Linked DNA regions of Struthio camelus. The protein of the gene in region 1 purifies or fractionates together with the protein of each later gene. This does not show direct contact. Links are inferred from orthologs where the notes say so. Each region holds a gene or a part of one and is shown in the gene's direction. Other genes may lie near its edges.

Region 1 (7,397 bases):
CGAGCCGCCGGAGAAGTCCCGGCGTTGCTTCCTCCTCCTCCTCCTCCTCCGGGCAGCTGCATCGCGCCAAGTGCCAAACTTGGCAGGCTTGCAAGCAAAGCGCCGGGGCCCGGGGATTTCTTTCAAAAGCCTGTTTGCGAGGTGACTTGTTCCAGGAAAACTCGCTTGAAAAACCCCAAGTGAACGCCCGCTTTTGGTGCTGGACTCCAGGGGCTGAGCCTTATGGCCCAAAAGCTCGAGCTGCCCCCCACCGCCCCGGTGCTCGCCCGTGCTCGTCCACCTCCCTGTCCTCCCTCGAACCCTCGGCCGCGCGGCTGCTCTCAGCCGGACCGCGGTGGGCGCAGGTCTCCCGGACCCGAAGATCCTACGAGTCTTTGGGACCGAGCGGGAGCCACCGGGAGCCCAAATCCCAGCGATCCTGGCTTCCCGAGCGGCGCAGGCGGCAGGGCGAGGGCTCACCGCCGCCGCGACCCAGGGTGCTACGAGCGGCGGGCGTTGACCTAGAAATGGCCAAGAACGAGGGCTGGCAGGCAGCTCGGCGGGCAGCGCGCCCGGCCGGCGAAGGCGGCTCGTTTGCGCAGGGAGGCCGAGGCGGGAGGGAGGCCGGCCGCCCGCCCCCTCCAGCCAGCCGGGGTGCCCGGCCGCGCCGCACTGTGTCACTTGGGGGTCACCGAGTGGGGAGCCCGTCCGGGGGGCTCGCGCGCCCGTCCGGGGGCCGCTCGGCGCCCCGAGGTCTCCGGGTGAGGTTTCGGGCCGGTTCCTGCCGCGAGAAGCCCCGGAGCAGCCTCTGCCTCCGCCGGGAACGGGTTTGGGGCCGGCTGCGGAGGCGGCTCCCAGCGGAGACGTCGCTGCGGAGGGGGCCGGGGTGAGCCGGGGATCGACCCGCTTTCCTTCCCGAGCGGCACCGCCGGCGTGGGGCGGGTGCCGCCGGGGAGCCGGGGCCGCAGGAGGCGATGCTCCCTTCCCGCGGCTTTCGGTTATGGGACGCGTTAGCCGGCAGGAATGCGCAAATCTCCAGGCTTTGCACGGCTTCCCCGTCGCGGGCGAGCAGGCATCGGGCGCCGACCCGCGCGCACCGCAAACGCCCCCAGCCGCCGTCCCCAGCCGCGCGGCGGGGAGGCAGAGGGGGCATCAGCGGCAGCTGCAGCCGCTCGCGCCCCGGCCCCAAAGCGGGGAGGAAGGGCTGGGACGCGCGTGTCCATCCCCGGCACCCGAGGTCCGAGGGGGCCGGGCAGGAGGCACCCCGCACCCCGGAGGGAGTCTCTGGCCCCGGGCGCCCCTCCGCGTCCCGCCGGAGCGCCGAGTAAACAGCGAGGAGGGGAACCTCGTTAATCCTGGTCATTCATTTACAAAAAGCCATTTAGAGCTGGCTCTGCAGGCAGTTATCCCGGCGTAGGGGAGGTTTTCCCAGCGGGACCTTAATTCCCTCCGCAAATAAAGCCGGAGGGAGGGAGAGCACAGCTTGCGTCTGCGGGGGGGGGGGGGATCTGCCGGGGCAGACGGGGATTTGGGGCCGGCGCTTGGGGGCTGACCCCCACGAGCCGCCGCGCCGCCGCGAGCGGAGGGGACAGCGCGCATCCCCCCTTTCTTCGCTTGGAGGTTTTGCCAGCTGGGGCGGCCGGGAGCATCGGCCGGTCGCCCGGCCGGGGGGGGGGGGCTCTCCGCCTGGGGCGGCCCTTCGGCCCGCAGTGAAAGTTGTGTAATTTCACGGTGGTCCCGGCTCCTCTCCCGCACCCGGGGCAAAGCCCGTTGGGAGACGCCGCGCTGCAGGAACCTGGCTGCCGCGCGGGCTGCTCCCGGCGGCTGCCCGGCTGGCGTGGGAGCTGCGCTCGCCCCGGCGGCGCGGGCAGCCGTAATCCATTTTTGCAACACACGGCCGGTTTTAAACAGCAACTCCTCCTGGGCTGAAGAGCGTCTGACTCACGGCGCCGGGTGCAGGAAATCCTCGCTTCAAGAGCTACTGAATAACTGAGCTTGTCAGGACTTTGTCAAAAAATTTGCCTGAGTGAGCAAATCAAGGCGGAAACGCGCGGCTGAGCAAAAGGGCCCTGAAGCTGCCTGAACCCCGGGCTGCTCCCGACCTCGAACGGCCCCCGAAGCTGTCGGCTCCTGCTCTGCCGTCCCAAACGTGAGGCTTTTTCGGAGCAGAGGGTCCAGGTGCAGCCGGCGAACAGCTCAGGCGGGGAGCGCCTGCATGCCCGCCTTGAAAATCCCTCCTGCCGGGGGGACGAAGGGGCTTTTCCTCTCCCTCCGTCCCGCGGATGGGAAGGAGAGGGCGACTCAGCGTGGCCGGAAGCCGCTCGGCCGGGGCTGAGTCGTCACCTCCCCGACGGGGCCATCCTTTCCCCGCGCCTCCAGCCTCCGAGCCCCGAGGGGTAGGCGGCACTGGAGGAGAGCACCTGCGCCGCGTCCTTCCTGGGGCCGGGAAGGGCAGGTTTCCTTTCCGCTCCTGCCGCCCTGTGCATGCGGGTGAGCCTTCGCAGAAGAGCAATGAGAAAAGCAGTTTTCCACGCGCGCAGAAAAGGCATGGACGTGCAGCCAGGGCGGGGGGGTAGAGCACGAGAGGCAGCGCGCCTGCCCGGGGCAAGGCCTGGGGTCTTCTCTCTTACACCCAAAGGGCCAAATCCCCTAGAGCAGGCGCCTCCGTAAAACACGGGCCCGTGGTCGTGGCCGGGCCACGTCACGGACAGAAAACAGAGCGCTCGGGCGCTGCTGTCGCCCATCGCGGCAGCCAGAGCCGCGCACAGCTGTTTGCGGCGTGATAAGGTGGATTACGAAACGCACTGAAGTCGTCGAACAAAAGGGGCTCGCCGGGCTTGTTTGAGCTGCCTTCCAGAGCCGGGGCTGGGGTGACAAGGGGGAGATGAACGGGAGCGCGCAAGGCTGCCCTTGCCTTGGGGCGCCCCAAGAGAGGGGGAGGCCGGGGCCCTCCGTACGGTTAAGACCCCCCTGCTCCAGGCTGGGGGCGGTTTAGGAGGATGCCCAGCCCGTCGCGGCCCCACCGCCAGCTGAACCACCCGTCCCCATCTCCGCTGGGGAGGGAGAAGAGCGCGGCCCTCCGGCGGCGGCAGCCTGCCTCCCTGCAGCGTGCATGCAGGACGGCGTAGATGGAGCTGGACTCCTGCCCTCTTTCTGTACGTTTCTATAATTCACCTCCTACTCCGGGAGCAAAGCTGCGTAACCTTCCTCCATCCCTCGTCTCTCCCTCCGGGCACCACGAGGCTGCTAAATCCCGCGGCAGCAGGACGCCCTGAGGCTCAGAGGATCTTCCCAAGCGGGGCAGTCCCGCGCTTCACGCGAGCAGCGTACGATTAATTTAATGAAACGGGCACACCGCCTGATTTTCCCCAGATCCTTCCCCGCGGGGACGCGTTCCCGGGACGCAGCCGCCGTGCACGGCCCGTCAGCGGGGCCCGGATCCGACCCGCCGAGGGGGTCACGCCGGGCGAGCTGCCCGGCGCCCTGCCTTCCTCGCGCGGCCCTTCTGCCGCCGTGGCCCGCTTCCCCCCGCCGCCGGCCGCCCTTCTGCCTGACCCGTCGGCCGAGCAGGCGGCGAGGTGGGGAGGGAAGGAGGGCTTTGCCCGGATACGTCCTGTCTCGCCCGCTCTGCGGGGGCCGGGGCGGCCGGTCGCCTCCGCGCCAGCCGAGCGGCGGGCAGGGGAAAGTTGATACTGGAGGACATCTGGCGGACGTGGGGCTCGTCGCACGCGCTCGGGCGCCGGCGGGGAGGGCTCGTCCCCGGCGGCTCGCTCGCGCATCCTCGTCCGGCGACATGGCGGTCACCTCGCGGCCAAACGAGGCGGCCGCCCGGGGCCGGCTCCCAGGCTCTTCGTTAGCGGCGCCGCGCTAATCGCCTGCGAGCCGGGGCGGAGGGGGCCGCTGCCCGGGCTGCAGGGCCGCGGCACCGGCACCTCCCGCCTGGGCTCGGCCCGGCTTCGGGAGGCCGTGAGAGCCACGAGGGTGCGATACGGCCGGGAGGAAGGAAAAGGGGGGGGCTGATTGCCCGGTTTGGGCCAAAAAGCCAGCGCAGGAGTAGGGGGGGGGAACCAACCCTCGCTCCCACCCCCGGCGGCTGTCGCCAGGCCTCCCGCCAAGGGGGTGTCGGGACAGCCCTGTCGCAGGCACCGGGGTTGGAGAGGTTGGGCTCAGCCAGGCCGTAACTGGGAGCAGTGGGCGGTGGGGACTGGGAGCCAGGCCCGCTCCCCATAGAAAGGGGGAGCCGCACTGGGAACGCCCCACGCCACTCCCAATATGGCTGCCCGGCCTCCCCGCCACTCTCAAGGTGGCCGGCAGGCAGTGCGCACGCGCCAATTCACCCAGCGGACCTGCCCCCCACTGCGCGTGCGCCCCACCCCTCCCGTCCTTCCGGCCCCCCTTATGTGGAGGCCACTCTCTAGATGGCGGCTGGCCCGAGCGCGCATGCGCAGTGCGTGCTGCCGCTCCCAAGATGGCGCCGCGAGGGTGACGGGGGGCGGAAGAGGGTGACCGGCGAGGGGTCTCTCGGCGGAGGGTGACCTCGGCGCCCCGCGGCAGGATGATCCCCACCGAGGAGGTGTCGGCCCGCCGGAGGGAGATCGAGGGCAAGCTCAAGCAGGTGGGGCTGGGCCGGGAGCCTGCTGCGGGCCTGGCCGCGGGCGCCGGGCCTGGGGGTCTCTGCTCGTCGCCTAGGAGAGAGGCCCTGGTCCCCCCTCGTCTCTGGGCCTCGGTGGCTCGGAACCAGCCCTCGGCGGTTGTGTCGCGGCAGGTTCACGGCTGCCCCTGAAACGTGATGCCTGTGGAATACCCCTGTTGCCTATAGAGCGCCCCGGGAGACGTGCCGCCTGAATCAGGGTGCCTCTGTGGTGAAGGTGTTAATTTTCTGTTGCGCTTTGACAGCAAAGCGTGCTGCTAAGGTGTTGGGACTCGGGATGTTGGAGGGAAATGCGTAATCCTTAAAAATCTTGTTTATGATGTGATGGGTCTCTCGCCATGGGTTAATTATCCGGATTTCTTTTAAGAGGTGGCATGTTGAAATGTGACCTTAGCGTCAGATCAAGCATGGTTTGCTGTAGTGATTAACAGGACTTGTAAAAATCCAGAAATATTGTTTGGCTCTGATCTTGCATGAGCTAAATCCTCAGTGTTCAGAATTGAAGCCTGTTTTTTCCTTGCTAACGACAGGAAGAAGAAACTCTTTCTTTCATCAAAGAGAGCCTTGAGAAAAGCGACCAACTCACAAAAAACATGGTAAGGAAGGCTGTGAAGTTCAGCCCTAATGTTGGGCTTGGGACTGCTCTCTGTTAGGAGGATCCTTTCCAAGGCTCTCAGTATGCACGTCTGAGGTATGTGGAGGAAGACACCGCTCGCTCTGCAAGTATTTTAGGTTTCCCTGGTTTTTCAACGGGGAAGGTTGGTGAATGTTTCGGTCCCGAGCTTCAGGGCTGGGCTCAAATGAGCTATTGGTCTCATCTCTTTACAGACTGCCCTCCCTCATGGGAAGAGGTATTAATAGACCCCAGATTGGATTGTGCAACAGCATTATGTTGTTGCTCCATAAAGGCAGATCTTGTTTGGGGTTTATTTTAGGAGTGTTTTGTGTGAGAGGTAGAAAGTAATTAGTGCGCTCTAATTAGCGCTGGTGAGCCCTTAGCTAGCATTCTGTGCCCAGTTTTGGGCTCAGCATTTCAAGAAAGTCATAGAGGCACTGTCTGAGAAGTTTGGAAAATACATCCTAGGAGCACATCTTGAAAGAATTGTATTTTTAGCTAGAAAAGATGACAGTTACACATTCTTTATGGGTCTGCTGAGCTTTCCCACTCTTCAGAAGTGATATCATAGTATCTATCTTTTAAAAACCAAATGTGTGTGATTCAAGAGGTGGTCAGAATGGTCATTCCTGTGCTTTTGTGTTGCACATCTCAGTTTTGCGTTTCGTGGTACGTAGGAGAGTGGATGCTGGGTTCTGCTTTTGTTGTCCTTGTTACTTAAGGCACCTCCAGGCAGTTCCTGTGGATCTGTTTTCTACTCTCAAATAAAATTTTGTTCCTCTTTAGTACTGTCTTGTTTGTAAAGCATTCAAATAACATACCATTTAATTAAAGATTGACCCATCTTTTTATGGCAGGTGATCTGTTTTGTAAGTATTAATGGAAATTAGGAAATAGAGGGATTAAACAGCTAGCCTAAGGAGCCATGGCAAACTAGTAGAAGAGCCGAAAGACAAGCTGGGACCTGAAGGTCCCTGGTTGCTCTACTCTAACTGCTAACCTACTGTGTGGATCCATGTAGAAGGATGTCCTCAGCTCTGTTTCTCTCTTGGTATATAGGTTTCTATCCTCTCCTCCTTTGAAAGTCGTTTGATGAAGCTGGAGAACTCTATCATCCCTGTCCATAAACAGACAGAGAACCTGCAGCGCCTGCAGGAGAACGTGGAGAAGACCCTGTCCTGCTTGGATCATGTCATCAGTTACTACCATGTGGCTAAGGACACAGAGAAGATCATAAAGGAAGGGTGAGTTGAGCAGCTAGACCTTACTGGGGAGCTTCATCCCATTGATCTTTTGGGACTGAGGTGTAGGAACTGACTCCCCGCATTCATCTTTGTGTTCCTTGTACCTTTCCCACTCTCTTTCCCTTCCGCCAGTCCCCCAGAAAGCTTTTTGATTAGACCTTCAGCAGTCTTCTGAGGGCAAAGCCTGTTCAGACCTTGCACTGGTGTCCCTTCCAGGTTTTGTACACGTGCTCCCACATGAAGTTCATGAACTTTGGTCGTTTCTCTTCTTTTCTCTGCCCTTTTCCCAAAGATTCTTCCTGCCCTGTCAATGTTGTCACCGCATCCAGAATAAATTGAGCTGTTCTGGAGCCTGCTTGCAGTCTCCAGTAGGGTGTTGTGATGGCCTTTCCTCTGAGATGGGATGGGCAGCTTCATCTACCTTCACATTAGGGTCTGGCCGGGAGAGGAGGGTGAGGGGTGAGAGCTGTGGGCTGTTGAGTGACCAGTACTTCTGCGCTTGCTGTCTGAATTGGGTTTTTTGTTGTGAGTGGAGGCAAAAAGAATTCCCTGATCTCCTAGTAGGAGAAAAGGGAATTGAAGTTTTCCCTGATGTTTTCATCCTGAGTCTAGTCTGGTCCTTTCTTGATATCTTTATCTTCTTCCTTCACTCCTTGGATCACTGTGGTTCTCTCTTTGTTTGTTTTCTATCTTTTTTTTTTCCAGCCCCACTGGGAGGCTGGAAGAATATTTGAATTGCATGGACAAAATCCAGAAGGCGGTGGAATACTTCCAGGACAACAATCCGGACAGCCCAGAGCTGAATCGTGTGGTAGGTCCTGGGTCTGAAACCTGGCAAGGGTGAGAGAGGGACAAACATTGCCCTGCAGCTTGCTGTCTTGCTGTGAGTGGCTGATGGGCTTGTTGC
Region 2 (7,595 bases), on another chromosome or scaffold:
AGAACTATGTCGAATACCTTTGTCAGTTGACTTGGAATTTGACAGTTTTGCTGGCTGGGTTTTCTCTTTGGCTTTCTTGGAAAAGTTTTCTGGTTCCTTCACTTTTGTAAATGTACCTCCACATGTCTCTTGATGCTCCACCCACCAAAAGTCTCGTGCAGAGGGTGCTCTGTTCATCGAACGTTTCACATATCCAAAATAAGGTTTTCTGTATTGACAGGGGCCGTTGCATCGCCACCAATGCTGGCGATATAAATCCACTTCATCATGAAAATTATGATAAATCTAAGTTAAAAAAGAAAAAAGCCAGTAATTCAGAAAATGTATAATTTTATAAGTCAGGAGATTAATCACTAGCTCCACATTTCTTTAAAATGTAATAGTGCTCCATTCCTTTGTAATACAAGCTAAAGTCCTCCTGCATGCCAGGAAGGAAAAAAATTGTCCGTCTGGTGATAAACTGACACACTACAAAAAGCCCTTCTCAAAGTGTCATCTTCCTCCCAAAATAAACATAATTTATTATAGTAACAAACCTGAAGTCTGATAAATGGTCTGTAATGTGAGAAGCACTTGCATTGTTCCAAAGCTTATCCCCCTCCTGGACAATTGTTTTTTCTACCACTACTGTGAGAAATAGCTTCTCCATCTCTCCACCATCCTGTTTTTAATCTCTTCATGACTTTCACGTTATGTGCTATTTAGAATGCACTGTAGACAATATAAGGATTTTGAAAATCAAACTGAAAGAGCAGTATAACAGCATAACAAAATAAATTCTCACTTCATCATCTTAATTGATCGTCAGAGACATGAATTTTAAATGCCATGTTCAATCACCCATTAGCTCCTATTGAGACAAATCTTAACTGAAACAGATTATTCTGAACTTCTGTACTTCAAGTTTAAAACAAACTTGAAAGGAAAATACTTTCAGAAGGTGTATATGATAATTACATGAGTCTAACAACCCTCCACATCTTCCTCAACACGTTCCCTTCACCATCACCAACAAAATAACTACTGAACTGGCAAGCAGTCCAATGTAAATTTGTATTGGTGTCTACTAAGAAATACAGGTGTATTAATCATACCACATTTGGACTATTCAAACACATGGTACTAAAACAGGGAAAAAGTTGTATTACACAACATTAAGTGGATTGTGCTTACCGTGACATTGGCTCCAGTTAAGCGATTAATGCGACGCATGTGTTTGCGGAACTCTGGCCCATGAGATTCACGATCTTTGTCATTATTAGTAACAAACAGCAGGGCATGGATCATTTCATGTAACAGTGTCTGAAACAAGGCTAATCATCAGCTATTTACGGAAAGGCATTGCATACAATTTCTAAATTAAGCTGCAAGCACTTTTTAATTTATGCTACTCTACATTAATCTTGGTACTCTTTGCGTGGTACCTTACTCTCACGCGTACACTTGTTCAATCTCGGTTATAAAAACATAACGCTTATTCTACCTGCCAAATCAAATCAGCTATTTCCACACAACCTAAACATGCTAAAGAATGTTATTTTAACATTTGATTCTCCAAAGAGGTAGAAATAATCCCCAAACTCAACGTCAGATCTTCAAGAAGATCACCCCCTCCTCACCACCAAACAAAAGAGACTTTTGAGAAGAACGCAGAAACTCTGCAGCACTTCCATTCACTAAGCAAATCCAAATGTTGAGGCAACTCATATAAGCAGATCTGGCAGAGGCACGAAAAGCAATGCAAAGGTATGTTCACAGTCATAACCCATAGCCCTATTTTCTGTTAATGGCCTTTTAACCTAAAAGGCGAAACTAAAGCATTTTCTCAAACTTTCTGGGTGTATTTGTGGTTTTGATATCGTAGGATAGCTTTGGAGCTAAAAAGAAGTCTTTTCCCCCTTTATAAAGTGAGTAAAATAAACAAGTGACTGTAGACTCCCATTCAAGAGTTTTCCATTTAGAAACATACAACTGAGAATACTATAGAATTGCCCATAAAAGCAACACAAACATAGCAATAAAGCCACCGCTATTTTGTAATCTATAAGTCACTGCTCATAAGAACGCCATAATAAAATGTAAAATGTGTGTGCAGGGAAGGGGTTAATACATTTTATGTACAGATTAATGAACAATCTTCAAATACCTCAACAAGATCCTTCCTTGGTCTTAACTTCAGAAGTGGCTCACTTAGACGAATGGAACACATTCCACCTTTTCCTTCATAGCTACATACTCCTGCACAGCTGAAAGAGATGCAGAAACAAAATATAAGTTACTTGATTCTGTAATATATGAAGAAAATTGAAAATCAAGAGTTAAAATGCTTGCCTCTTCCAATACATGCTAAATAATTTAGAATATGAAAGACTGTTAGAAGCTACTCGAAGAACTCAAGTTCATTAACCAACAAAAAACAAGCAAATTCTTCAGAATAAGCTGTTTGCGCTACTAGAAGCTCAACTGTAATTTATTAGATGTCTTACAATCACTTAATTCAAAGCTAACAATCCTGAAAAATCACAGTAGAATGCTCCAAGCTCATTTGTTCATGAGGTAAATTAGCGTTCTCATTCAGACTCCAGATGGAGTGAAAAACATAAAACAGAGGCTGCTCTTTCACAGCAGCCAACACTGACCTAGCTGCTGGTTGCTGCAGTTCAACCCTCAGCTGCACACTCTCCCCTGCACAGCTGCACAGTTCTGCCTCTTACTGGACTTTTACATGGTCACTTCAGCACAGTAATACAGCAGAAAACATTTTGCTGTTGTTGCATTAGTTTTCTGTAAGCACAATATACTCAAATATTTCCAAATGTGCAAAGAGCACTGCAATCAGCAAAGGACAAGGAGGGGGAGGGACTCCAACATCCTGCAACTGTATTAGCTGATCTGCTGCAGAACTGCAACCTGCTTTTATCTTTTTTTTTTTTTAAGTCTACTCTAAATCTTGTTAACATGCTCTTATGCATTTATTCACATTTGCCTTTCTACTATGCTGTAAAACTATAAAAGAAATTCAAAATAGCAACAAAAAAACTCACCAATATAAATATGTTTAAGTAAGTTTTCAAATACACAATTTAAGACCAATTTATTTATTCCACTATAACAGTTTTGTCTGCACACTGAGAAAGCCATTTATGGTTGCCCAAGCTTACAAATGAAGGACAAAATAGATACCAACTGTGACAGATCCACATCCTGGGCAGAGGTACAACCTATGTTAGAAAAAACAGGAAACTCCAATACCTAGAATTTAAGCTGTGGAACTGGTAAGTGTAGTCTACTAAGACATAGTTAGTAACAGCATATAGTGACAAGCGACAGGTCGGTTTTCCTCCTTTCCCCAAAAGTCTAAGACTGTATCGTGAGATGAATTATTGTTTGCTTGATCAGTCACAACCTTTTCCAAAGGCTCAGACACAGCAATTAAGAACTGCTTGGACTGTTCACGAAAAGCATCGCAGCTCACTCATGACAGCCTAAGTCTCTGCCAGTGGGAAAACTGACGCTAGTGAAAGCGCTTCACCATGGCTGCTCTAGGGGCTCAGGAAGGACCGGCTTCCCGGCCCCGCCGCTTCGCGCCCTTTTCTGGGCGCCCCCCGAGTACTTCGGCTCCCCGCACAAGCGAGGGCTCTGCCTCGTTGCTGGCCGCTTTCCGTCAGGGCCGGGAGCGAGGAGGGGCAGGGCGCACTCACACGGACGCGACCGAGAGCCTGCGCTCTCCTCCCCACACAGGGCCACCCTCAAAACCAACAGGCAGACGAAACAGCCCCACCCCTACAACCGCCTCCCCCAGCCGTTACCGTACAGGGTCATACGCGGGCTCCACGACACCTCCACCGCCGTCAGGCGCCCCCAGAAGAGCGCCTCGTTGAACTGCACGAAGAGGCCGTGCACGTCGGGGCTGGGGTCCAGCAGCTCCCAGGCCTCGTCCACCACCGAGAGCGGGCGAAGCAGCGAGGAGTCTAACGAGGCCTCAGGGCACGCAGCGGCGGCCGCCGCCGCCTCCTTGTCCTCCGCTTCCCACAGCTCCTGGAGCTGCAGCGCCAGCACGAAGTCATCCTCCTCCTCCATCCTGAACGGCACCGACGCCAGCGTCACCGCCCGAGCTGCTCAACCGCCGCCCAACCGCCGCCGCCGCCGCAGCCCAGGAGGCACCCAGCCACTGCGCACGCACACACCAAAAGAGCTCCAGCCCCGACGCACACTCCTTGCGCCACAAACGACGCGCCGCCGCCGCCGCCGCCGCCGCCCCGCTCCGACTACGCATGCGCTCGCCCTAACGGCGCGCCCACTAGCGCTGCTGCTCCCGGCTGCGCGCATGCGCACAAGCCGGGCCCGGCGCGGGACTCCTCCTTCCCGGCGCGCGACTCCTCCTTCCCTGTGCGCACGCTCGCGAGGGCTGAGGGCGCTTCCGCTCTACGCCTGCGTCTGCGCCTCGCCTCGCGTCGCTCCGAGCCGAGCCGAGCAGAGCCGAGCGCGCGTGCGCGGCGGCGCGGCGATGCTGGCGCAGGCGGCGTACGTGCCGCTGTGCGCAGGCGCAGCAGCGGTCTCCCCGGCGGCGGCGGCGGCGGCGGCAGGGCGGACGCCGCGCCGCGGGGCTGGTGGCGGGGCGGCGCGGCGGGGCGGCCTCGCCGCCGTGGCGGTAGCGATGGCGCTGTCGCTGGGCGAGGGCGGCGGGAGCCGGCTGCGGCGGCAGCTGGAGTCGGGCGGTTTCGTGGCGGCGGAGTACGTGAAGCAGCTGTCGCAGCAGTCGGACGGCGACCGGGACCTGCAGGAGCACCGGCAGCGCATCCAGGCGCTGAGCGAGGAGACGGCGCAGAGCCTGAAGCGCAACGTCTACCAGAACTACCGGCAGTTCATCGAGACGGCGCGCGAGATCAGCTACCTGGAGAGCGAGATGTACCAGCTCAGCCACATCCTCACCGAGCAGAAGGGCATCATGGAGGCCGTCACCCAGGCCCTGCTCCTCCAGGCCGACCGCGACGACCCCGCCCTGGGCGCCCGCCGCGCCGCCGCCGCCGACCCCTTCCTGCCCCTCTCGGCCAAGGAGGCGGCGGCCAGCGAGGAGGGGCGGCAGCGCACCCTCACCACCCTCCTGGAGAAGGTGGAGGGCTGCCGCGACCTGCTGCCCGAGAGCCCCGGCAAGTACCTGGTGTACAACGGCGACCTGCTGGAGTACGACGCCGACCACATGGCGCAGATCCAGCGGGTGCACGCCTTCCTCATGAACGACTGCCTGCTCGTGGCCACGGCCCTGCCCAACCGCCGCGGCGCCTACCGCTATGACGCCCTGTACCCCCTCGACGGGCTGGCCGTGGTCAATGTCAAGGACAACCCGCCCATGAAGGACATGTTCAAGCTGCTTATGTTCCCTGAGAGCCGCATCTTCCAGGCCGAGAACGCCAAGATCAAGAAGGAGTGGCTGGAGGTGCTGGAGGAGACCAAGCGCAACCGGGCCCTCAGCGAGAAGCGCCGCCTGGAGCAGGAGGCCTTGCCCCGGCCTGCCCCGACACCCCCCGAATCTACTAACCCCTTCGAGGAGGATGACGAGGAGGACGAGGAGCCCCCTGCCGAGGAGGAGATGGTCGACCTCTCCCTTGAGTGGATCCAGGAGCTGCCTGAGGACCTGGACGTCTGCATCGCTCAGCGGGACTTTGAGGGGGCGGTGGACCTCTTGGATAAACTTAACGAGTACCTGGGGGACAAGCCTGTGAGCCAGCCTGTGAAGGAGCTGCGGGCCAAGGTGGACGAGCGGGTCCGGCAGCTCACGGATGTGCTGGTCTTTGAGCTGTCTCCGGACCGCTCGCTGCGAGGAGGGCCACGGGCCACCCGCCGGGCTGTATCCCAGCTCATTCGCTTGGGCCAGTCCACCAAGGCATGCGAGCTCTTCCTGAAGAACCGTGCGGCTGCTGTGCATACGGCCATCCGACAGCTGCGCATCGAAGGTGCCACGCTGCTCTACATCCACAAACTCTGCCATGTCTTTTTCACCAGCCTCCTAGAGACAGCAAGAGAGTTTGAAACGGACTTCGCTGGCAACAATGGCTGCTACTCTGCCTTCGTTGTGTGGGCCCGTTCTTCCATGAGGATGTTTGTAGATGCCTTCAGTAAGCAGGTATTCGACAGTAAAGAGAGCTTGTCTACTGCAGCAGAGTGTGTAAAGGTAAGAGTGAAAGGAAGGTGGTGTGGCATGGTGGACTAAGCAAAAGGGGGAAAGCTTGTAACCCCCCGTTTCTAACCCTAGCTCAGTTGTGGACTCGGACTTTGAGCATGTTGCTTGAAAAAGTTTCCTGCATTGACGAGTTAAGATCATTCATTTGGTGTTTGTTTGGCGCTTTTTTTAAATTTAACCAAAAAAAAAAGCATTTAAGACTAATAAAGTACAGAGCAAGAGAAAACCTGTGTTCACTCTTAATTTGCCTTTGTCTGGTAGGAGATCCTTAAATTTACACAGTTTATCTGAACAGTGAGTACTGTGAACACTTGTGTTTTCCAAGCCTGTACTGGACTATATTTCCTTAATTTTTTTCAAGGACTTCAAGAAGTCCTTAATTTCTCAGGTTATGGTATCTTTCAGCTGCTAATAGGAAGAAAAAAAGGTTTCTAATGTAGTTGTCTGTGGCATTTTTGACAGGCAAGGTTTGTCTTTCAGTTACTGATTTCCCATTAAAAAGGAGTTTCTTAGGGTAGGAGAAACATGTAAAACATAACTAACGGTTCCCGGTTTTCTGAGAATGAAAAATTTGGTAAACTTTTAAAATGTAAAGGGGGAATGCAAACTGATAACACACTTCACTTTTCATTAATACCCAAGGTAGCTAAAGAGCACTGCAAGCAGCTCAGTGAGATTGGACTGGATCTTACCTTCATCATTCATGCCCTTCTGGTAAAGGATATCAAAGGTGCTTTGCAGAGCTATAAGGATATCATCATTGAGGCCACCAAGCATCGCAACTCTGAAGAGATGTGGAGAAGGATGAACCTAATGACCCCAGAGGCTCTGGGAAAACTCAGAGAGGAGATGAGAAGCTGCGGGGTAGGCAATTTTGACCAATACACTGGTGATGACTGCTGGGTCAACCTTAGCTATACTGTGGTAGCTTTCACTAAGCAGACTATGGCCTTCTTGGAGGAAGCGTTAAAGCTTTACTTTCCAGAGCTGCATATGGTTCTTTTGGAGAGTCTGGTGGAAATCATCCTCGTGGCTGTGCAGCACGTTGATTACAGTTTACGGTGTGAACAGGACCCTGAGAAGAAAGCATTCATTAGGCAGAATGCATCCTTCCTTTATGAAACTGTCCTTCCTGTTGTGGAAAAAAGATTTGAGGAAGGAGTGGGAAAGCCAGCCAAGCAGCTACAGGATCTGAGAAATGCTTCAAGACTGATGCGTGTAAATCCAGAAAGTACCACCTCTGTGGTGTGAAGTCAAGTAACTGTTCTCATGAACAGTGTGTGAGAGCGCTTACAGAAAATGTTGTACATTAAATATGAACTAAATCTTTTCTGGATCCCTGAAAAACTTGGAAGTCTAACTGCAACCTTCCTGAAGCTGAAAACTTGCAATCAAAACCTGCAGTGATGAAAAC

Evidence for each region. Proteins that work in one complex are often made in the same cells at the same time.
Region 2: the proteins of EXOC7 (region 1) and EXOC8 purify together in Homo sapiens (affinity purification with mass spectrometry; 4 studies listed by BioGRID and IntAct, counting the BioPlex papers as one, with this or other methods). This does not show direct contact. The link is inferred for Struthio camelus from reciprocal best matches to the Homo sapiens genes EXOC7 and EXOC8.

The regions. Positions count from the first base shown.
Region 1 is NC_090960.1:9,002,597-9,009,993, reverse strand, and holds the start of EXOC7 (exocyst complex component 7), read left to right. Parts: upstream 1-4,388; 5' UTR 4,389-4,534; coding exon 4,535-4,594; intron 4,595-5,160; coding exon 5,161-5,226; intron 5,227-6,305; coding exon 6,306-6,490; intron 6,491-7,195; coding exon 7,196-7,301; intron 7,302-7,397. UniProt on the Homo sapiens protein: Component of the exocyst complex involved in the docking of exocytic vesicles with fusion sites on the plasma membrane.
Region 2 is NC_090944.1:91,124,686-91,132,280, forward strand, and holds the start of EXOC8 (exocyst complex component 8), read left to right. Parts: upstream 1-4,595; 5' UTR 4,596-4,657; coding exon 4,658-6,172; intron 6,173-6,823; coding exon 6,824-7,432; 3' UTR 7,433-7,595. Other genes in the region: DNA-dependent metalloprotease SPRTN, read right to left, coding at 18-285, 1,174-1,302, 2,147-2,246, 3,815-4,080. UniProt on the Homo sapiens protein: Component of the exocyst complex involved in the docking of exocytic vesicles with fusion sites on the plasma membrane.